Saccharomyces cerevisiae S288C: one gene and its partners. The protein of the gene in region 1 interacts with the protein of each later gene in a pairwise test. Each region holds a gene or a part of one and is shown in the gene's direction. Other genes may lie near its edges. The genes, in order: RRP14, NOP4, BRX1 and SPB1.

Region 1 (4,595 bases):
ACTTCTATATACCTCCTTTGTTTGTGTTTCTAAAGCACTGTGACAAATCCTGCTTGAAAGCACATGATATCACCAGACGTGTTGCACTATCTTCAGTTCTATCCTAAATTGTTTTCCAGTCTTAAGATAAAATTCATTCCAGTTCGGGTAACATACACCGTTTATGACTGACGCTTCTCTTTACGGAAAATTGTTTTTTTCGCTATTGTTGCAAAAGTACAATGGAAAATGCCCCACTGAAACATGAAATAAGAAGAGAAGAATCAAGTTTATGCAAAATATTGTTAGAGTAACCGCAGCAGATTGTGATACTCAATTAGAGAGATTATTACAATATATATATATATAATGATTACATGGACGTTAATCGTTACATAGAATTAAACCACGCGTAAGTATGGGGTAATCATGAAGTAGACTTCAGGGTTTTTTTCTTTTTTCTTTTGAAAATTCGTTTTGTTTGACTCTTATGTATATTGGGAAGAAAATATGGAAGAAGAGTTATTGAGATTATTTCAAAACCTTACCGTCAACAATTTCCTTATCTTCGCCATTGACAACAACAGGCTTATCCCAAGCCCACATGTTGTTGACAAATTCTTTGTCTTCTTCCTTGGTTGGGTCCAACTTGGTGTATTCGTAAGATTCCCAGTCTGGAGCGACATCAAAGGCTGGAGCGAAATCTTGGCCTCTGACCATAACGGCACCAACAATACCATTATTGTTGTTTTCACCATAGACAACTAAACAACCGAACATGTACTTAGTAGAAGCGGACAATCTGTTGAAAAAACCACCGACCAAGTTGTTGGACATGAAAGTCAAGGTAAGTTCGTCGTTGTATTTGTAACCAACCTTCCAGATGGAGTATTCTTCAGGGTTGTAGTGTTCCCAGAACCATGGCAAAGCAACTGGTCTGGTGTCGTCGTTGGAGTACTTTCTCTTCCAGTCATCCAAGACAAATGTGGACTTTCCTAAAGCTTCCAATGGGTGCTTTGGCTTTTTAGCTGGAGCAGCATCATCTGCTGGCTTAGCTTCGTCCTTCTTCTTTTCAGCCTTTGACTTTTCGGCCTTTGGCTTTTCAGCCTTTTGCTTCTTTGGTGGAGTGTAGGTTAGAGCCTTTTCAGCCAATTTGACTTCAGCAAATGGAGTCTTCACGATTGGAGAAGCAGCAACAGTGTTGAACCATCTCATCAAATGAGGATGCTTAGCTCTCCATTCAGGGCCCAAAATAGTGGCCAAACCAAAAGCCCAAGAACCAGCGGCATGAAGGTCACCTAGAGAAATGTTTTCGGTAGCAACAAAGGTGTAGTCTCTCAATCTAGCATCGAAGACAGCAGCTAGGTTGTCGATTTTAACAAAACAAGCATCAACGTCTTTCTTGTTGTATGGAATCAAACCTTTGAAAGAAAGGAATGGACGAGCAATGTTGCTCATGACATCGGAATTAGCTAGAGATGCCCATCTAAGGATTTGAGACTTTTCGATAACGTCGGAACCTAATAAGCGAGCTCTTTCTTTTTCATCGGCAACTTGATTAGCCACTAAATATACATCATCTCGATGGTTATACAACCATTAATTGAAGAAATGTTAGTAAAACAATCCTTTATATTTTTTCCTGGATTAGGACACGCTTTGTACTTCCTTTTTGTTATTTTGACTTTCATTTTTCTTTAAGAAACATATCAGAAATACAAATATCAACATATGAGAGGTTACCTATTATTACCCATTCAGACAGGGATAACTGTTTGATAAAATTTTTTTTCATCATTATGTTTCGAAGAAAAATGACGTGCCAAATAAACGAACGGGAAACGCGCAAAACAATGTATGTGGAAGTGTTAAAATAAAATATGGAACATACAATAAAATTGGATAGCCAAAGCTTCAGTTAGCTTTAAGCCCTTTGGACCCAAAAATGCAGGGGCTTGCTTCAATGGGAACAAAGAAGCAAACTCGCTAGATTGTTCTAGATCAACGATCTTGACATCTAGTTTAAAGTAAGAAATCAAAGCTTCAGAAGCGTAGTTTCTTGGAGATCTATTAATGTATAAAGTACCTTGGGACATCTTGAATCTATCGAGGGCCAAAATCAAAGAATTGAGTTGGTATTAAGGATGGACACCAGTTTTGAACAAAATTAACGACGGAATGGATGAATTAAATATGAAAAAGAAAGTATTGCAAACTGTTGATGAAAAAAATTTTTCTTTCAATTTTGTCAGCAGCAGAGCGCATTACCCTGCCGGCCACATGCCGAATTAAATTAAATGAGGGCTGCTATTGCCAAATGTGATGGCTTGCCTACAGAGGTTAATTTCCCTTGTTTTGGGCTTCCTCTCTCAACACGATTGACACAAGCAATAGAGGCAAAGGTGTGTAATGAGTTCGTGTACCAATTAAAGTAAAGTAGAGTGGTTTAATTGGGATTACACGATTAAAAAGTTTCACCCAGACACCAAATTGAAAATTTTTTAAAATGAATTCTTTTTATTCTCATCTCCGGTAAAGAAAAGAGGAAAGTACAATAAAAGAGATGAGATGACCAAGAGATGAATAACAAGTGAGGACTGAGACGTTGTTGCAAGTGATAAAGAAAGTCCGGGAATTGAAAGATATAGGAGACTGAGATGAGTAATTCACTTGAGGAGCGCCTTCGTGCTAATTCAAGCGCCTTCGATGGTTTATTGGCTTTAATTCCTGCAAAATACTATTATGATGAAAAAAGTCAAGAGCAATGGAAGGCCAAGAAGAAAACCAAAGAACAGAGTAAAAATGATAAACTGAAAAAATTAGACCCGGAGCAACGTGATGATGAAACATCTAGTACATTAGAAGTAATGAAGAAGAAGGAGAAAGACGCAAAGCCGGTGGTCCTACCTGGTGAAAAATTCAAGCACATGAAAATGCAAAAGCAAAAGGAAGCAACATCAAAAGTGGAAGGAGACTCCGACCTGAACGTAGAAGTAAACGATCCTATGATAATAGCACCAGACGAAGATGAAGAAGAGGAAGAGGATATTAAGGTGATCTTTGATGATGAGGGAAATGAAATACCATTAGAATCTAAAAAAGATACTACAGAGCCCGATAGATCTGTCGAAAAGAAGTCTATTACAGAGGAAGAGAAACTACAAAGAAAGAAAAACTTGGAAGCACTACGTTCCAAGTTACAAGCGAAAATTTCAGATATGAAGAGTAAAAGGAAAGCACCCGGTTCTAGAGAGGCTATTCTTGCTCAAAGGAAACGCAAGGAAGAGTTGAAAAAAAGAAAGCGTCTAGAAAGTGAACAGGAACAGGATCAGGATGAAATTGCGTCTGATTCCGATATGGAAGACATCGATAGTGATTTAGAAAACAATTCGAAAAAAAGATTCAAAAAAGGCAAGAAGGACTCAGAAATTAACGCAGATGGTGTAATGTTTCAAAATATCATATTCGATGATGGTGCAAGGGCCACTTCAGATTTACAAAGGTTAAGAAAAGCTGGTAGAACGAAGGGTCCGGCTAAGAATGATGTAAAATCACACTTAAAGTTATTAGAAGCCAAGAAGAATAAGATGGAGGCGAAAGACGAACTAGAACAAATCAAGCAGAAGGAAAAGGAAAAATGGCAAAAGGCTATGTTACAAGCAGAAGGAATTAAGATTAGGGATGACGAAAAACTACTTCGCAAAGCTATAAAGAGAAAGGAAGCACAAAAGAGAAAGTCTGCGATTGAATGGAGCGAACGTAAGAGGGTTGTGGAAGACACGATATCTGAAAGACAAAAGAGAAGAGAAGAGAATCTGAGGATTAGGAAAGACAACAAGGGTAAAAAGAGAAATAAGCAAGAAAAGATGAAAAGAAAGTATGTCGGTAGTGCCGTACCAAAGAAAAGAGCCGGATTTGAGGGTAGATTAAAAACAGGTAAAAAGAAGGGAGGACCTAAATAATAATCACGATAATAATAACAACAATAATAGATATATATATATGTATGAACATATATATACAGATACATATATATATATATATATCTATATATATACCATCGCATTTTTTCCTTAACGAGAAGAGCACAGCAGAGCTTAAGATGGCATGCATTTATAGAACAACACTCAACACATAGCGGGGGGAGGGTTCTGGAAATACAAATGGTAGTGCAATTTACAGCCTGGATTAAAGGGGGATCTGCAATTGGGACAAATAAGGTTTGAATTGTAGTCGTAATACTCTGCAAACGTCATTTCATGACGGCAAACTCCGCAAATAATCAAGTGTTTATTTGCATCGTCAAGGAGATCATATTTTTCTAGCGGGTGAGAACTTAACTCTTGGTGGCATTCAAAGCACGCATAGTACTTATCACAACATTTAAACCTGATGGCAATTACATCCTTTGGAAGATGCCAGTGGACACATCGAGATTGGTCATCCACTGTCTTACCATAAATGGCAGTTTCGATCATCTATATTTGCAAATTGTAAGTGGTACGTATTTTTTTTTTTATATCATATATGTATATTTAAAGAAACTCGTAAACCGAAACGTTTATTCATCATTATCATCATCATCATCATTATCATCACCATCACACCGCGCGCGC
Region 2 (6,467 bases), on another chromosome or scaffold:
GCAATTGAAATATTAAAGAATTTTGTCTTAGAGAAGGGTGTACTGGACTGTATTGCTGCTGCAATAGACGAATTTGAACCTAAACTACAGAAGATGTTGTTGAACGCTGCATCTTATGGAAAAGCTTCTTTGCAGTACAAGTCATTTGACGCTAGTATATTTGTGAATGCGTGTAATACGATAAAATTATTAAACTGCTTCAGAAGTTTTGGTATTTTTTTGACTGTGGAGGAATACAGGTGTATTTCTTTGAAAGGTGTCATTGATAGGCTGTTGAAGTATCACAGATATTATGAGTGCATACAGATATGCAAATTGGCCAATGAACGATTTCTGTTAGGATACGTGTTTACTGAGTGGGCAAAGGATAAAATCAAGGGTAGTCCTGACATGGAAGATGATGAGTTACTAGACAAAATCAAATCTCGACTAAGTGTTATAGATATGACGGATACATTACAAATGGTAGCAGTTGCGAAAGTTGCATATCTTGAAGGAAGGTTCCAGTTATCCCGTAATTTAGCTTTATTAGAGAAAAACGAAGAAGCTAGAATTGAGCAACTGTATAATCTTGATGATGATAGTATAGCGCTAAAGGAGTGTATCAAAGTACAAAATTACAGTCTGACAATTTCATTACTGATTGCACTTTCCAAAAAGCTGACAAACTCTCAACTGACGAAGCTTTTGATCATTGATATGTTCAACAATCCCTTATATCTCTATTATATGAGAATGGATAAAGCATACTTGTACGATTTTTACCGCCAAACTGACCGATTTATTGACTTGGCTCACGTATTACTGCAGCAGGGAAAAGAACAGCAATCTTTACACAGCTTTTTACCGCAAATTAAGGACCTTTATAGCCAAGTTCAAAACAGTGAAGTGGTCAACAATACAATAGAACAACTTCAAAGACAGGAAAAGTTGTGGATATACCAAGAATCATTAGGCAAAAGATTTGCTATATCATTCACTAATATGACTTTAGATCAAACGCTTTCGAAGTTAATAGAAACAGGGCAAGATAAACAGGTGAAAGAAATAGTTAAAAAGTTCAAAATAAGCGAAAAAAAGCTGTATCACCTGAAATGTAAAACGTTAGTCGAAGCTAAGAAGTTTGACGAACTACTACAGTTTGCTCAGTCGCGGAAATCACCAATTGGTTACATGCCTTTCTACACATACTTAAAAAGCAGAGGCCATATGGATAAAGCTAGTCCTTATGTTAATATGATACCTGGCCTTTCGTATCAGGAAAAGAAAAAGCTTTATGTGGAGTGCAGGGGTTTTCGTGATGCAATTCAACTAGCAGGAAAGGAAAAAGACATTCCAGGCTTAAAGGAGATATATAATATTATACCACCTAATGAGCCGGAATTAAAGGCATTAGCAAATGAAACTATGAGCAGGATATAGAACTCATAATTTATAGACGTTGTGGATATCTAGCCGCATATCAAATAATTAAATGCTGCCATTACGTTTGTGCGGTTATATATGTTGGCTCCCTATAGGGTTACCCATGGAACGGCGAAGGAAAAAAAAAATAATTTTCACTGAAAAATTTCAAGAGTCTATCTCATCTCATCGTTTATTCTGAATTAAATACTACATACAAAATCTTTTTATTAGTAAAATAGTGAGATTTCTTCGTGAACTAGTGAAAAGCTATCAATATTACCAATCTACCAAAGTGAGATGGAAGAAACAATAGAAAATGTTGAAGTGCCTTCTAGTAATGTCTCAAAACAAAATGACGACGGCCTAGATATGAAGACTTTGTTTGTGAGGTCTATACCCCAGGATGTCACAGATGAGCAGCTGGCAGATTTCTTTTCCAATTTTGCTCCGATCAAGCATGCGGTAGTTGTTAAGGACACGAATAAAAGGTCCAGGGGCTTCGGGTTCGTTAGTTTTGCTGTAGAGGATGACACAAAAGAAGCCCTAGCTAAGGCCAGAAAGACCAAATTTAACGGACATATCTTGAGGGTAGACATTGCTAAAAGAAGAGATCGTTCAAAGAAAACATCAGAAGTGGTTGAAAAGAGCACACCTGAGTCATCTGAGAAAATAACGGGCCAGAACAATGAAGATGAGGACGATGCTGATGGTGAAGACTCCATGCTAAAAGGTAAACCGAAATTAATTATCAGAAATATGCCATGGAGTTGTCGTGATCCAGTTAAATTGAAAAAGATCTTTGGTAGATATGGTACCGTCGTGGAGGCTACCATTCCAAGGAAGCGTGATGGTAAATTGTGTGGATTTGCGTTTGTTACTATGAAGAAAATCAGTAATTGTAGAATTGCTTTGGAAAACACCAAAGACTTGAAAATTGATGGTAGAAAGGTGGCTGTTGATTTTGCTGTTCAAAAAAACAGATGGGAAGATTACAAAAAAGCCCAGCCAGAAATGAATGACAAAGATGATAACGAGTCAGGAAATGAAGATGCTGAAGAAAACCATGACGACGAAGAAGATGAAAATGAAGAGGAAGATAGACAAGTAGATCAAGCTTCAAAAAACAAAGAATCGAAACGTAAAGCACAAAACAAAAGGGAAGATTTTTCTGTTTTTGTTCGTAACGTCCCTTATGATGCCACTGAAGAATCTTTGGCTCCGCACTTCAGTAAATTTGGCAGCGTTAAATACGCATTACCTGTTATCGATAAGTCTACGGGGTTGGCTAAAGGTACGGCCTTTGTAGCCTTCAAAGACCAATATACATATAACGAGTGTATCAAAAATGCGCCTGCGGCTGGCTCTACCTCTTTATTGATAGGTGATGATGTCATGCCTGAGTATGTGTATGAAGGTCGTGTTCTGTCCATTACTCCAACGTTAGTAAGAGAGGATGCTGGAAGAATGGCAGAAAAGAACGCCGCCAAAAGAAAGGAGGCCCTAGGTAAAGCGCCAGGCGAAAAAGATAGACGTAACTTATATTTGCTGAATGAAGGTAGAGTTGTTGAAGGCTCAAAAATGGCTGATTTGTTAACCAACACTGACATGGAGATCAGAGAAAAATCTTACAAATTAAGAGTGGAGCAACTGAAAAAGAACCCATCTTTGCATTTGTCGATGACTAGGTTGGCTATCAGAAATCTTCCTAGAGCAATGAATGATAAAGCATTAAAGGCGTTAGCTCGTAAAGCTGTCGTGGAATTTGCTACAGAAGTTAAAAATAAGGAAAGACATCCATTGAGTAAAGAAGAGATTATCAGATCTACAAAGGAAAAATACAAGTTCATGGGTCCAGATGAGATTGAAGCTCAAAAAAAGAAAGACAAAAAAAGTGGTGTTGTCAAGCAAGCAAAAGTTATAATGGAAGTTAAAGGATCAACTGCGGGAAGAAGTAGAGGTTACGGTTTTGTAGAATTCAGAGATCATAAAAACGCTTTGATGGGCTTAAGGTGGTTGAATTGTCATGCCGTTACCTCCGATGAAATTTTAGAGGGTTTGAATGATGATGAAAAGAAACAAGTAGACAATGACTTAGGCAAAGGAAGACGTCTTTGTGTTGAATTTGCGATTGAGAACTCTAACGTCGTAAAGAGAAGAAGGGAACAATTGAAGCAAGCAAGAACCAAGAGAACAAGACCAGATAATGAAGATACTGGAGATGTCGGAGAATCCGAGAATAAGAAGCCAAAAAAAGAAGAAGCAACGACGCCCACCAATCCCGATGACAAAAAGATGGGCGATGATATAAAGAGAATAATCGGGTTCAAGCGTAAGAGAAAGCACGCAAAAAAATAGAGGTAGAACCATATTTATAGGAATTTCGATTTGTATTCTCTTTACGTATGTACATTATTTTTCAAAGAGTAGATAGATGAATCTCTAACGTACTCGAAAGCTTTTATGTCGTTATTTTAGTACTGTTTTACGAGAAGCGCGAGAAACTCTCTACATATACTGTCCAGCATCTCAGTAAATCATACTGAAACCTTATTACCAGTATCGCTCCTAGACGTTCCGTTTGAAGTAATAGGCAAGACGAGAATTATTTATTTCCCATGATATACATAATGGTTATAAGTAGACCGCAAATAAAAGTATGTAAAATTAGCTATGTTTCTACATTGTTTGTGCAATGACTTTTAGGTTCGGCTGGTCATTAATAACTAGGTGATGCTGAATTCACGTATCTTATTAGATACATTTAGAATTCATGACTTCTCCTTTGTATGAGCGTGTCCCTCCTTTTCTTGATGGTTTCAGCCCTTCTACATACTACACAATGTACTTTGTTAACCGATGATAACTCTACTTTATACGTAGTTTAGACTTTGAACGGGATGAACTGGTTGTTTCATCCAATGTTTTCGTAAAGTCATTCTTTTTTATGGAAAATGTACAAAGTTGTTTATATTTTTTGCTATGGTTATTAACCTGAATACCATTAACAGATGTGTTATAATGGGAACATATTACTATTGCCGATAAGTTACGAACAAACCTACTACTACCATTATATAAAAATTAAGGGGGGTACTTGAAGTCTTTTCTTTCTTCTTTTTTGGGAATGCATGAGATATTCATATGTTTTAAAGCCCCATTAGTTGAGATGAATTATGACGAAATTCGCATACATCTGCGGAGAACAGGGTTTTAGCTCGACCTAAAATCAACCCATTATTTTACCTGAATGTTGCAGACTTGCATTCTTAGTGCCTCTAAAGCGAAAAATTGAAACTGTATGCCGATTTAAATACTATAAAGATAAAAAAAAGTTTAATGAATATAATAGTGACAGTGCTGTGGAATGAAAAATTCCAAATATATATAAAAATAGAAGCCTATCTTCTGTTTTTCTTTCGAGATGGCTCATCTGATGCATTGTTTCCTGACACCGCAGCAGCGGCTGCTGCTGCCGCGGCCAGAATTCTACGGTTAACACCAAGCCCACCTAACGCATTTGCAGCGGCACCTGCGGTGATTCCTGAAGCTTGTGTATTGTTTTTCGTTCTTGATCCAAGATTCATGATGTCATTATCGTTCGTGTGAATTCTTCTTGCCGGGTATTTGTAAGTTAGACCTTCAAATACATTTTCACTAACAGGAATATCACTTTCTGTGAAGTACTTATGTTCCAACGCATTAAATGCATCTATTCTTTTAATTGGATCATAATTTAACAAGTGGTAAAGTAAGCTTAAAGCATGCTTGTCCCTTCCTCCCGCGGAATGATACCATGTAGCAAGGTTATCCCTATACTTTGGAAACTTCGTAATTTGATCATATTCTGGATACTTCTCCAAATAAGGCCAAATTTTTTGATCGGGAGTGCCAAGAACTTCCAAAATTCTCTGTAGTTGATTCACTTGAAATGGAACAGTCTTTTTAGAGTCTAGTTTAGCTTCTTCACCTTTAAATATGGGCTGTAATCCTATCAGTTCTGCAAAAATGCAGCCAACGGACCATAAATCAACCGCAGGGGTATAGTGCCGTGCTCCCAATAGCAACTCAGGTGCACGGTACCATATAGTGACAACCACTTTATCCCCAGTATAGAGGGTTTGCAGCATATTATGAAATTTTCTGGCCAAACCTAAATCACCAATTTTAACACATCCATCTATGGTCACCATTATATTTGCGGGTTTCAAATCTCGATGAAGCACCCAATTTTGATGAAGATACGATACGCCGTCTAAAAGCTGCCACATAATAGACCGAACCATTCTTGGTGGTATCATCCTTTTTTCGGGATGGGAATGGAAGTGGATAATTTGTAGCAGATCATGCTCCGCATATTCGTATACCATATGGACACATTTCCTTTCCAAAAAAATTTCCACTAATGTGGTTAAATGCTTGTTGTGCAATTCTCGACATAATGCCATTTCTCTACAGGCACTCTGAGATATTCCCGTATAATGCAATTGTTCGACGCCATCCTTCTCTGTCTTGAACTTTTTAATGGCATAAAATACCGTCAGCGGTTTTTTAATGAGGGTTTGTTTTTGGGAATTATAGTGCGGGGATACATCTTCCCTCGTAGTTCGTATTCTTCCGGGGGTCACTCCTTCATCCTTTAACAAGTTTCTTCTTAATGCGTTTGTATTTGCCTGCATGTCCATTGAAGAGCTTGATTTTGGTTGCGTGCTGTCAAACTGCGGAATTTTCGCATTGGTACCATTCAGACTAGAACCATTAGCGGAATTGGTACCGGAGTTGATTTGTCTTTTCGCTTTGTAAACTTTACCATATGTGCCCGCAGCAATGTAGCCAATAACTTCGTACTTTTCTAAGACAGATACCCGCATTCTATCTTTTCTTGCCCTATAAGGTCCAATAGTAAAAACATCATTATTGGCCATTAGCATCGGGGCTTTTCCATGCACACTTCCGATTGTGTTTTTCTTTCCAACGAACGATTGAGCTTGCTGTTGTCCTTGTACCTGCATAGGCCTTTGGTACATTGGCTGATAGGAGTTTTGTGCTCTATCCTTGCCATT
Region 3 (5,531 bases), on another chromosome or scaffold:
TAGGCATGTCGAGAGTATTAAAGGGTTTTAACTATTTGAACCCTGTAGGGTATACATCTATGATCATCATTAATTTCGCATTCCCAGGTAATTTGAAATTAACCTGCGAAGATGGCGGGAAAAATTCAGACGGTACTTGTGAATTTGCGAATGGCCATGATGTGTTGGTTTCTTATGGTTTAGTCAGAAATACGCAAAAGTACCTGGGAATCATTGTGTGCGTAGCCATAATTTATCGCCTTATTGCATTTTTTATTTTAAAAGCAAAATTGGAGTGGATAAAATGGTGATTGGAAAAATACTTATAGACCTGTAAATTAACGGGAGGAACATCGTTATTATTTTCCTATGATTTTTTGAAATTTATTCTCCTCAAAAATCATATACTACTTTTTCTTTCAGAAATTATGGAGCTTGAAAAGGCTGCTGATATAAAAGTCTTGCGATACATGTTATTTTATCTACCTAAAAAAAAAAAAATAAAAGAAAATTGTCTATCTGCGACTGCTCTATAATGGAGATGTAATTTTTGTTCATAAATTTCTTACACTTTTTTGGATGCCTAGTAATGAATTTTTAATGTTCTTGACATTTTCAGCTTTAACATCAAGTTCTTTTAACAAGTTGCCACATTCATCTTTTTTTAATTCTTCATATGCTTGTACTAAAGCTTTAGAATAACCTTTAAATACATCATCGCAACAACTCCTCAACTCCTTGAGGGAGTTTTTGATTAGTTTTTGAATTTCTTTATCTTTGATTCTCTTCAAACTGTCTAGTGTTTTTAAGGTTGCCATTTTAGTAAGGTAAGTATGGGATACCATCCAGTTTTGTTTTGCATTTATTGGGACTTTCATCAACCTAGAAATTAAATCATGTAGATTTTTACCGTTATTTTCGTAAATTTCGAAAAAAATCAGAAATGACGCTGACTCCACTTCAGTTAAATTATTATTCAACAACTCTTCAAGGTTAATTGATGGAAGTTTTTTTAAGAGCGCACTTATTTGTTCCGTTTTCTCCCCATTTGGCAAAGCTTCAATAATAAGTTCTCTTATCAAAGTTAGAAAAATTGATTCTTCATTCAAGTTAGCATATTCCAAAATTTTACCACGGTTAAGAAATTGGGCAAAATTTTCATCTAATATGGAAAAGTCTCTATTGTCAGAAAATGATACACTTTGCGTCATTTCTAAAGATCTCCAATCTTCGTGTAATTTTTGTAGTAGGTGGCCGCGCTTGTCGTTGCATAAACGTGAGAACTGTAAGTTTTCTAAAGTTTTGGTCCATCTTGTATAGGATTTCATTAGTTTATCCCTCATCTCGAGCATTCCTAGTATTTTGCTATATGAATTTCTTTCGAATGCCACCTGAATATATCTTGGTAAATTAGCCAGTGATGTATCGTATAAATTATTATGTTCATGGAATGTCTTGGAGTAAAAATCGCTCTGTTTATTCGGGAACAAAGTAGAAAATCTCGAGAATATCATGTAATCTAGGGAATCTGTTTGAACGTTTTTAATCTTTAGGTTTATGAAATGGAAATAAGCATCGGGAACTAAACCCAGGTACATGTATAAAACAATCAGCCAGCACATAGTATCGAAGTTATGAGGGTCCTTGGCTTGGTAATTTTCCAATATCGTTATACACAAAAGCACGTCTTTCAATTCAGGATTAGTTTTCTTGCACTTGTCCTTGACTATTTCTAATAAGAATGTAGAACAGGAGGAATAATCCGTTACCGATTTTTTTTCCAGGGTCCCCTTAAACTTGTTATAGTTATTGATTGAGTCGCTTCCAATAAGTCCCAATTCTAGAATATTACAATGATGAATCAAATCCTTATCCTCTGGATCGTACTTAGACATAATGCTCTTAAGCATATCTATGTTAATGTGGCCGCTGTAATGATTCAAATCGATTGAACAACAAGGTTTGTTATGGTACTTTGATAAATAGTACGACAAAGATGATTCCGAAACCGAATCGGTGTACATTATATCAAGTTTCAAGCGCGCCAATCGAGTATTCCTTGAGTCTCCCAAATTTTCATCAATCCATTGTTTGACTTCGTCTTTAGATTTAGAAAGTTTGTAGGCAGCATCAATCAAGTTTGTGATCAATTCATAATCATCAAGGCCCTTTTCAATAAGTTTTGAACAAACTTCAAAAAGTTTTTGTGGAGAATTCAATAACTTGGTATGCTTCAAGATAAAGTTTTTCAAATACAAGTTTACTGAAGTATCAAAATTGGCAAAGGTAATCGCAACAATCTCTTCCGAGATTTCTCTAGATTGAGGGAATAGTTCATCCAACACCAAACAATAAACTATAATCTCTTGAACATTTTGAAATGGTTTCAAGTCTAACAAAGACTGGCGCGCTAGCCTGGAGAGCAAAATTTTCTTGGGATCTGAAAGAGTGTTTTCCTGAAACCTTGATACGGCTAAAATCGAGATTGCATTCCAAAAATAATATGCTCTTTTAGGCAGGTTTCCACTGTCACTGTATTTAGCTAGCTGTAGAGATGCTTTGCTCATTTGGTTATAATTGGAATCTTCCAATGCTTTCATAAACCAGTGATAAGACAATTCGTAGCTAGGGAATTTGAAATTTCCTCTTTCATACACGTGCAATGCTTCGTCGTATTTCCCTAACTCTACGAAGAAGTTGTGCAAAAACTCCAAGGAACGCGTGTCGCCCGTAATCGTTGTCCCTTTCAGCCCATATGGTTCTTCTAGCAGTTTATTGTAATCGAACTTACCAGGTGACTGCTTGAATTTAACATAGGTTTCCAAAATCTTGAAGTACAACGCATTGGGAAATTGTTTTTGCAATTGCCCCAGTTTTGCATAGCATTGTTTGAAGTTGGACCTGCTTACTAGTCCTAATATCTCCTCCTGTATCTTGTCGGACATGCTTCGATGCGATGATTGCTGTACCGAGCTCGTTATGTATCGTTGCTTCGCCAATGAATTCTGTTGCAGCTGACATTTATTATTTATTTTCCTAAAGCCCTCGGCGGTCCGTGGACAGTGATTTTCGTTAAAGGTGACTGAAAAATTTTAGATGCTCATCGCGATGGTTCTCAAAGAATCTATCACCTAAAAAGATACAGAAATTGCTATAATATTTACGAGTTAGAAGGTTACTTAGCCTTATTTTGCTTCACGTCTTTCTTTATACATTCGTCAGGTGTTGAAAGAGTTCAACCAAAGATGTCTTCTATCTACAAAGCCCTCGCAGGAAAGAGCAAAGATAATAAATCTGAAAAGAAGCAAGGCAATGTCAAGCAATTTATGAACAAGCAAAGAACTCTTCTGATTTCGAGTAGAGGTGTTAACTATAGACATCGTCATTTAATTCAAGACTTAAGCGGATTATTGCCTCATTCCAGAAAGGAGCCAAAATTGGATACTAAAAAGGATCTTCAACAGTTGAACGAAATCGCTGAGTTGTACAATTGTAATAATGTTCTATTCTTTGAGGCCAGAAAACACCAAGATTTGTATCTATGGTTATCCAAGCCGCCAAATGGGCCAACTATAAAATTTTACATTCAAAACTTGCATACTATGGATGAGTTGAATTTTACAGGTAACTGTTTAAAGGGTTCTCGTCCGGTATTGTCGTTTGATCAACGTTTCGAATCCTCCCCACACTACCAATTAATTAAGGAGTTGCTAGTGCATAATTTTGGTGTACCACCAAATGCTAGAAAATCTAAGCCATTTATTGATCACGTCATGTCCTTCAGTATTGTAGATGATAAAATATGGGTGAGGACATATGAGATCTCACACAGTACTAAGAACAAAGAAGAATATGAAGATGGCGAAGAAGACATATCATTAGTGGAAATTGGCCCTAGGTTTGTTATGACTGTCATTTTGATCCTAGAAGGTTCATTTGGTGGTCCAAAGATCTATGAAAATAAACAATATGTTTCGCCAAACGTCGTAAGAGCTCAAATTAAACAACAAGCTGCTGAGGAGGCAAAGTCTAGAGCTGAAGCTGCTGTGGAAAGAAAAATTAAGAGAAGAGAGAATGTTCTTGCCGCCGATCCTTTATCAAACGATGCCTTGTTTAAATAATAAGCATAATACTATCAGAGAGTTTTACATAACATTGTATATTAAAAAGATATAACAAGAAAAGAGTGGATGTAGCAACTGTCTAGTTATAGACCTCTTTTTAATAATTTAATGTTTAAATCTTGAATATCGAAAGCTGTATATATAAAGAATATTTATTGTATGTACAAAAGATCTTCAACCGCGCAGCAATCAAGCTATATTTACGCATCTTGCTTTTCCGAATGTTTCTTTAAGTAGTTTTCAATGAATTTTTCCTCGTCTTTGTTGTCTGTTTTGATGTCGACTGTTTTTGGCTTTGCGCTTTTAAAAGGATTTGGAACAACCAATAAACCTAGCAGTCCTAATGTCCCAATGGCTAGTTGGTGTGGAGGGATAGCTTTCCCCATGAAATGATAAGCAGCACCCATTGTCGTAGTTATAAATTATTATTTGAAGTCACCTGGCCTTATTCAATGCTAACGAGTTATGTGCTCTATGGGGGGACTTGCTCCTAAAAAGCTCTTTTTTTTCCCTTTGCATCGAGAAGCGGACTCTGACCAATCACCATCGAGATCGCGATGAAGTATTTTCTATACCATATTTAGATATAAACCAAAATTAATGCTGGTAAGATGCAGTATAATGGGTTTTACTTATTTATGATTCATTCTATAAGCGCTTAATAAGTTTTGTAATCGCGTCACGATCTCAGTACACTCTTGACCTGAAACTGCTTCAAAGTAGTACCTTTTGATATCATCTTGCCCCTCTCTTCTTACGAAAATTTTGAAATGCTCAGGGACTCTTTTGGATTTTTTGACAAGAACCACTTGACTAATGTGTAACGACTTAGTCTTTACATTATCATGCCAATGTATACGTCCCTCCGGGGGTACAATGTATATGTAGTCGCCATCAATGGCTAGTGTTCTTTCATGCTTGTTTATAAATGACATTTGCTGCCTTCTCCATACCTTATATTTATGATACGCTCCGGTAAAAAGATCTTGGAAGTTATCTCCAACTCCATTTGGAGTGTCAGGCGTGTGCTCCATCGTACTCTGAGAACGGTTTATATTATGAAACTGCAGTGTCCCATGCAAAGAGGATTTGGATGAATTCTTGTTCTTGAAAAACCCATTTCCATTGGCGAGACCGCCAGCCGTTGAAACACTTCCACTAGCAACACTTGATGACGAATGCTGCTTTGCCAAGCCCAGCTTATACTTCGTGGATATCTTCTTAGCTTTGGATGTAACTTTCGTGTTTTCAGGAATGGCAGCCACAGCCCCTCCAGCATCTGCTTTGAGATAAGAGTTCAGAGGCTCCAAAGTTAACGGAGTTAGATCATTACTTTGGATCGTTGGCAAAACGGGCTTCTTTAGGTCAGGTTTCATTTTTTCCAAATGCAACTCCCTTGCATCTTTTTTAGAGATGAGTTCCACCTTA
Region 4 (7,160 bases), on another chromosome or scaffold:
GTGCAGAACAAAGAGGAAGAAAATAGGAACAGAGAATTTGTTTGTTTATTTGTTTGTTTGCTTGTTTGTTTGTTTGTTTTGATTTGAAGTCGAGGTACTTATTCGAAATAATTATTTTGCCCAGGGTTTTGGATAGTTTTTTGTTTTCCAATTAGATTTTTAGAAATATTTTATCATAGTTTTTTGTTTATTTATTTGTTTATTTATTTGTTGATTTGTTTATTTATTTGTTGGTTTGTTTATTTAAGTTTGTAAATGTTTAATAAACAAAACAATATTTGCAAGCCATTGAAAACTTTGTAAATTTGTTTGAGAATTTACGAAACAATGAAAATTAAGGACTCTTTGATGGTGAACGAATTACTACTTTGCAGCAGGTAATTCTCTAAAACTCAGAAACAAGGCATGTATTTTTCACTAGGAAAAAGAAGGAAAATGGGACTACAGTATTAGGGAAACAGGATTAAAATTCGTAGGTAATAATAACCCATACTTTCATTGTAGCAGTACTTTCGTTAATAAAATGGATATTGTTGTACTTCGGTAGATGTTATATTCTAAAGAGTTAAATTATCCAATTCCAAATTCTAGGGACGGTTTCCAAAGATTTGTATTGTCCAGTGACATAATTTTCACTAAAACATTGATCTGTTTAATAGGTTTGCTATAAATGCACAATAATTTTTCACCCATGATACCCAATTTCAAGAGAAGCAATTGCTACATATAATTATTTAGGCTTTACTATCTACTACTCATTGACTGTGCCCTTTTACACAATTATAACAAATATGTCAAAGCAGATGCCATGAACTTTGTATCTGAATTTTTGATTTCCTTTTAATTCTAATTGCAGACGACGTAAATATAGTTCTGAATTTCAAAGTCACTGTTAATTAATTGTTCTAATTGTTTGGTTTTTTTAATATAAATCACTAGTGCTTAAGTTCTGTTGACGCACACAGTACCTATCTTTGATTCCTTCGTGCAAACAGTATTCCGGCACGTTAATTGATACCAAAAAGATTTCAAAATCAGATGCTTCAAGACTAATTGTATACTTTATGTGACTTCTGGAGTTTAATTTGTTGTATTGATGAGATAATATTGTCTATTATATTGCCAATAACAACCAGCGCCAGGTGTACTAAGTCGAGATGACAGAAAATTTATAATAAGTGTAAATACAATAAATTTTGTAAATAAATAACTACTTCAATAGAAATCTCAAAGTCGAAGAAACACAGAACACAGAATGAAACTGGACTAAATGATTTTCAATAAAGGAAAAGCACGAAAAATTTTTTGAACTTTTTTGGGACAGCGTGGATCGTGTAATTACTGTATTGGGAAATTTACACGATTCTCGACAAATAAAGAAAAAGGCGCGTTTAAAGACTTACAAGCACACCTTTGAATTATTTTTGTTCTCTATGATTATCAAATGTGCTAGTGTTTGCAAGATGGTGCTTTTTTTTCTTTAGATTGCCACGTTTCTGCTCCTCTTTGTGGTTTTCTTTTTTTTTTTCAATCTTACTTATAAAATGAATATTTCAATTGATGAATAGCTATATATTGGATACAAAAATTAGCATTTAATCGAAAACTGCAGCATGTATTTAATCGAAAACTACAGCATGTAGCTATGATACGACAGAAGATTTTTGTTTTTATAGTTAAGTCAAGAAGAAATTCTATTTGTCCAGCAATCCGGCGCAAAGAAGACTACTAAAGGGTATTGAAAAATTTCTAGAACCAGAAATAATCGAAAGCATTACTTTTTTTGGCTCTATAAAGGAGTTCTGGACAGCTTGAACTTCCGAAGTCTGTCTGTTTAGCTCGTTAAGATAAATCTCAAAAGAGTAGCAAGCAGGTGGGAGGGATAATTTGGATTAAAGTGTATATATTGCGTATATATAGCCACGTAAACCTCACACTATTGAGTTTAAACATTTTTCACCTTACGTTATTATTCTTTTGTCTAATTTTAATCTCCTCCAGTATACTAAAACCGCAAAAGCGGGTTACCCAGCTTGTTTCTTTTTGTCTGAAAAATTTTTTGCGATGCCCATTATGAAAAATTGGCAATAATAGTATAGTAGTTAGTTTAAGTTTAGATTCTTTCAATACTCATTCTGCTTCAGTTTGTAGTTAGATTTAACTCAATAGAGGTGATTGGCAAAAATGGGTAAGACACAAAAGAAGAATAGTAAGGGACGTTTAGATAGATACTATTATCTAGCAAAGGAGAAAGGTTATCGTGCTCGTTCATCCTTTAAGATTATTCAGATTAATGAAAAGTATGGCCACTTCTTAGAAAAATCGAAGGTTGTTATTGATCTGTGTGCTGCTCCTGGTTCATGGTGTCAAGTTGCATCCAAACTCTGTCCTGTCAACTCCTTAATTATTGGTGTTGATATTGTTCCAATGAAGCCGATGCCCAATGTTATAACTTTTCAAAGTGATATTACAACAGAAGATTGTAGATCAAAATTGAGGGGTTATATGAAGACTTGGAAAGCTGATACAGTGTTGCATGATGGTGCTCCTAATGTTGGTTTGGGTTGGGTTCAGGATGCTTTCACCCAATCTCAATTAACCTTACAAGCTTTGAAGTTGGCCGTCGAAAATTTGGTGGTGAACGGTACTTTTGTTACTAAAATTTTCAGATCCAAGGATTATAATAAATTGATTTGGGTTTTCCAACAATTGTTTGAGAAAGTTGAAGCCACAAAACCACCCGCATCAAGAAATGTTTCTGCAGAAATTTTTGTAGTGTGTAAAGGTTTCAAGGCACCAAAGAGGCTGGACCCAAGATTACTGGATCCAAAAGAAGTTTTTGAAGAATTGCCAGATGGGCAACAGAATATGGAGTCCAAGATTTATAATCCCGAAAAAAAAGTTAGAAAAAGACAAGGTTATGAGGAAGGTGATAATTTACTGTATCATGAAACCTCAATTTTGGATTTTGTCAGGACGGAAGACCCAATAAGCATGCTTGGAGAAATGAATAAGTTTACAATTGATGAGAATGACCATGAATGGAAGATCTTGAAGAAATTGAAACAAACCACAGACGAGTTCCGTTCCTGTATTGAAGATTTAAAAGTCTTGGGTAAAAAGGATTTTAAAATGATCCTAAGATGGAGAAAGATTGCAAGGGAAATCTTGGGCATCGAAGTTAAGGACGACGCTAAAACAGAAATTGAAGTAGTACCGTTAACAGAAGAGGAGCAAATTGAAAAAGATTTGCAAGGTTTACAGGAGAAGCAGCGTCTAAATGTCAAGCGCGAAAGAAGAAGGAAGAACGAAATGAAGCAAAAGGAACTACAGAGAATGCAAATGAACATGATAACCCCCACTGATATTGGTATTGAAGCCGCAAGTTTGGGTAAAGAATCGTTGTTTAATTTGAAAACTGCAGAAAAGACTGGTATCTTGAACGACTTGGCGAAGGGTAAGAAAAGAATGATTTTTACAGACGATGAATTAGCCAAAGATAATGATATTTACATTGATGAAAACATCATGATCAAAGATAAGGATTCTGCCGCTGATGCGGACGATTTAGAAAGCGAGTTGAATGCCATGTATAGTGATTATAAAACTAGAAGGTCGGAAAGGGATGCCAAGTTTAGAGCTAAGCAAGCACGTGGTGGCGATAATGAGGAAGAATGGACCGGTTTTAATGAGGGAAGTCTAGAAAAGAAAGAAGAGGAAGGTAAAGATTATATCGAAGACAATGACGATGAAGGTGTCGAAGGAGACTCCGATGATGATGAAGCCATCACCAATTTGATTAGCAAATTGAAGGGACAAGAAGGTGATCACAAATTGAGTAGTAAGGCACGTATGATTTTCAATGATCCGATATTTAATAACGTTGAACCTGATTTGCCAGTAAATACCGTCAATGATGGCATAATGAGTTCCGAGTCTGTTGGTGATATTTCTAAATTAAATAAGAAAAGAAAACATGAAGAAATGCACCAGAAACAAGATGAAGCAGATTCTTCGGATGAGAGTTCAAGTGATGACTCCGATTTCGAAATTGTGGCCAACGATAATGCATCAGAAGAATTCGATTCTGATTATGATTCAGAGGAAGAAAAAAATCAAACAAAGAAAGAAAAGCATTCCAGAGACATTGATATTGCTACTGTTGAAGCCATGACTTTGGCACATCAGTTAGCATTGGGTCAGAAAAACAAGCATGATCTTGTTGATGAAGGTTTCAATAGATACACCTTCCGTGACACCGAAAATTTGCCAGATTGGTTTTTAGAAGATGAAAAGGAACATTCAAAGATAAATAAGCCGATTACTAAGGAGGCAGCGATGGCAATTAAAGAAAAAATAAAGGCAATGAACGCCCGTCCTATTAAGAAGGTTGCTGAAGCTAAGGCAAGAAAGAGGATGCGTGCCGTAGCTCGGTTAGAAAAGATCAAGAAGAAGGCGGGCTTGATTAACGATGATTCAGACAAGACAGAGAAGGACAAGGCTGAAGAAATTTCTAGATTGATGCGTAAGGTTACCAAAAAACCAAAGACCAAGCCAAAGGTTACTTTGGTTGTTGCCTCAGGTAGGAACAAAGGTTTGGCAGGTAGACCAAAGGGCGTTAAGGGTAAGTATAAGATGGTTGATGGTGTCATGAAGAATGAACAAAGAGCCCTAAGACGTATCGCAAAGAAGCATCACAAGAAAAAGTAGTAACAAAGAGCATTATTTTTCCATTCCCTTGTATAATATTGAAAATAAAGGAAAAGAAAGCAATAGATATATTATGTATACATAGAATTAATCAAATTATCATCAAAAAACTTATAGGAAACCTATCGTTTTGAATTCAGAAAATACGAGTGCACAGTAGAACAATTTTTATTCCCGTTTTACTGATCTTTTCTTCTTGTTGTTACCAAATACCTTGGAGAAAATGTATATGATGGAGATGAGTAAGCATAGTAACGTACCATTTTTGATCTTGGAATAATCCTTTGTGTCAGGCCTTGGAATTGGTACTAGAAGAGTTGTCGAGTTCAAATGGCGGAATGTAGTATCGTCTGTAAAGAGAGATTCATATCCTAGACCTTTTTTATAAAATGGATTACGGGAAACTTTATTGTCACCTGTGTCGCAGGCTAATATAACTTCTGGATCAAATGAAACTTCTAATTTATCCCCTTTATTATTAGAAGGCTCAATATATCTAGTATGCAATGTCACTTCATTCATTGTGCCGGCTTTCAATTCAAAGATACTTTCAGAACCCCATGCCTTATCTCGAAGAGAGTATTCTGGTAATTCTAAGTCGTCTTCTCCAAAAAGTAGTAAGGGAGAGGATTGGAATTTATCGATAAATAATTCTAACGGCAATTGCAGGTGCATTAGATACATGCATTTAGGGCGTTCTTCGAAATCTGTGAGATCAATCATGATTTTTGGATGCAAACCGATAGGTTCATTCAGATATAGTGATGTCGTAGTCGTCGAGTGATTGTATGCGATATGGCCCTGTTTATACAATAAGGATGTTTTCTGACATCTTTCCATTTTACCATCGTCCATCCTCCAATTACAACGTATTCCACCAATATCGACATCACTTTCATCACTTGCATCCACAAAGAATACACCTACTTCGAGTTTCTCATCTTTCACTCTTGCAATTGTAAATTCTTCACCCTGTTTCAACAGACGATATTCAACAATTTGGATTTGTGTGGGCTCCACTGATATATCATATGTAAAATCTTCTGGATTCCATGACAGATTCAAATCTACTTCGGGAGGCAAGTACTGCTCTATGTCAAACTTCTCACTGTGAAATGAATTGTAGACTGGGTTAGTAATAAACCTTTCCGGCACATCCGAAGAATTTGAGTAAACTGAAAAGCCAGCACTCAGTTCATTTTCTATAACGCTTAAACTTCTAGCCAAGTCCGCTCTGGGCCTCCAAGTGATTCTCGTAAAGGATTTATCCAAGCTTCCAGTCCTCTCTAATAGCCACCTTTGTTGTAAAACCACACCAGAACCTCCACGAACAGTCAAATGAGTGTCATTTTGGCGCATATGATTACCGATATCCTCAGGGGCATTGTAGAGTACAGTCACTCTATGTCTTGTCACCATTACTCAGCTAGAAACGCACACTTCTTGCGTTTATTCTCCTCCCGATTTGATTATGATTAGCGTTTCCATTATTTGATCTTTTTTATCAGGGGGATCTTCAAAGAAAGGAACTTTTTTTAGGAAAAAAAAAATAATCATCTTTTATTACATGTGTAATACTTCAAGCAATCATAAACAAGAGTTAAGAAGGCAAAGTTCTGCTGTTAGTGTGTCCTCCAATACTCTTGCACGACAAAGTTTTAGTTATCCCCTTCTACGTGTATTGTTCCTCCGTGGTCGATTGTGTTCAAAGATTGGGAGCTCTTTTCGTGTTTTGCACTAAGAGCATACTGTTAATCCGCAAAGGCCACTAAAACTTACCTGCATTTGTCTACTTAAAGATACATTCCAACTATTTACATTCATTTTTATTTCTAAAAGAGCATTCTGAACCCTCGGCAATTATTTCATACTCCTTCTCAGAATAGGAAAATGCCCAATACGCATACTCAACATGTGCAAATATCAGAGCCAAATCCTGTAAATACTTTGTCTACACCATCCAAAAGAGGTCACCGCCATCGCAGATCGCTAGCAATATCAGGAGATTTTGATTTTTTGAAACAGCCTGCAGCAATTGTGAATTTACCACCTCCACAGGCGGCTGAAAATTGTCCTTCAACTGCCCCAACTGCTGTATCAAGTACATTATCGCCAATACGCTACAATAGATTTCCTTGCAAAACCAATGAAGACGCTGGAACGTTAGATTTGCCTGAACCAAGATTTTATCCGTTATCACCAAAGAACAATCTGCAAACACCAAGTCCACGATTTTTCATTAGTGAAGAGCCAAGTTTTTCATCGCCAGTTAAAGGCGTCCCAGATGCCATTATTAACCTTGACGATGCGTTGAAGACAAGGCCTAGGTCATTTAAATCACATAGAAGATCTGAATCCGCTCCTCCTGATTTGGAGGTTATGGTAGATAAGGGCAATTGTGCAGCCGGTTCTAACTCTATGATTAAAGAAGAAGAGGACTCCTTAATTGA

What was found.
Region 2: the proteins of RRP14 (region 1) and NOP4 interact in binary tests that used the Saccharomyces cerevisiae proteins (3 or more experiments, as listed by UniProt).
Region 3: the proteins of RRP14 (region 1) and BRX1 interact in a two-hybrid assay, tested with the Saccharomyces cerevisiae proteins (one study listed by BioGRID).
Region 4: the proteins of RRP14 (region 1) and SPB1 interact in binary tests that used the Saccharomyces cerevisiae proteins (3 or more experiments, as listed by UniProt).

Annotation. Positions count from the first base shown.
Region 1 is NC_001143.9:280,371-284,965, reverse strand, and holds RRP14 (ribosome biosynthesis protein RRP14), read left to right. Parts: upstream 1-2,636; coding exon 2,637-3,941; downstream 3,942-4,595. Other genes in the region: TEF4 (translation elongation factor EF1B gamma), read right to left, coding at 511-1,544, 1,871-2,075; HOT13 (Hot13p), read right to left, coding at 4,107-4,457. UniProt on the Saccharomyces cerevisiae protein: Involved in ribosome biogenesis and cell polarity. Required for the synthesis of both 40S and 60S ribosomal subunits and may also play some direct role in correct positioning of the mitotic spindle during mitosis.
Region 2 is NC_001148.4:468,235-474,701, forward strand, and holds NOP4 (mRNA-binding ribosome biosynthesis protein NOP4), read left to right. Parts: upstream 1-1,704; coding exon 1,705-3,762; downstream 3,763-6,467. Other genes in the region: tethering complex subunit VPS16, read left to right, coding at 1-1,422; cyclin-dependent serine/threonine protein kinase SSN3, read right to left, coding at 4,806-6,467. UniProt on the Saccharomyces cerevisiae protein: Required for 60S ribosomal subunit synthesis. Probably involved in the processing of 27S rRNA to produce mature 25S rRNA.
Region 3 is NC_001147.6:184,417-189,947, reverse strand, and holds BRX1 (ribosome biogenesis protein BRX1), read left to right. Parts: upstream 1-3,224; coding exon 3,225-4,100; downstream 4,101-5,531. Other genes in the region: YOL075C (uncharacterized protein), read left to right, coding at 1-290; MDM20 (Mdm20p), read right to left, coding at 534-2,924; ATP19 (F1F0 ATP synthase subunit k), read right to left, coding at 4,304-4,510; AVO1 (Avo1p), read right to left, coding at 4,736-5,531. UniProt on the Saccharomyces cerevisiae protein: Required for biogenesis of the 60S ribosomal subunit.
Region 4 is NC_001135.5:29,265-36,424, forward strand, and holds SPB1 (27S pre-rRNA (guanosine2922-2'-O)-methyltransferase), read left to right. Parts: upstream 1-2,184; coding exon 2,185-4,710; downstream 4,711-7,160. Other genes in the region: RDT1 (Rdt1p), read left to right, coding at 1,646-1,732; PBN1 (Pbn1p), read right to left, coding at 4,879-6,129; LRE1 (Lre1p), read left to right, coding at 6,601-7,160. UniProt on the Saccharomyces cerevisiae protein: Required for proper assembly of pre-ribosomal particles during the biogenesis of the 60S ribosomal subunit. Specifically methylates the guanosine in position 2922 of the 25S rRNA at the stage of 27S pre-rRNA maturation.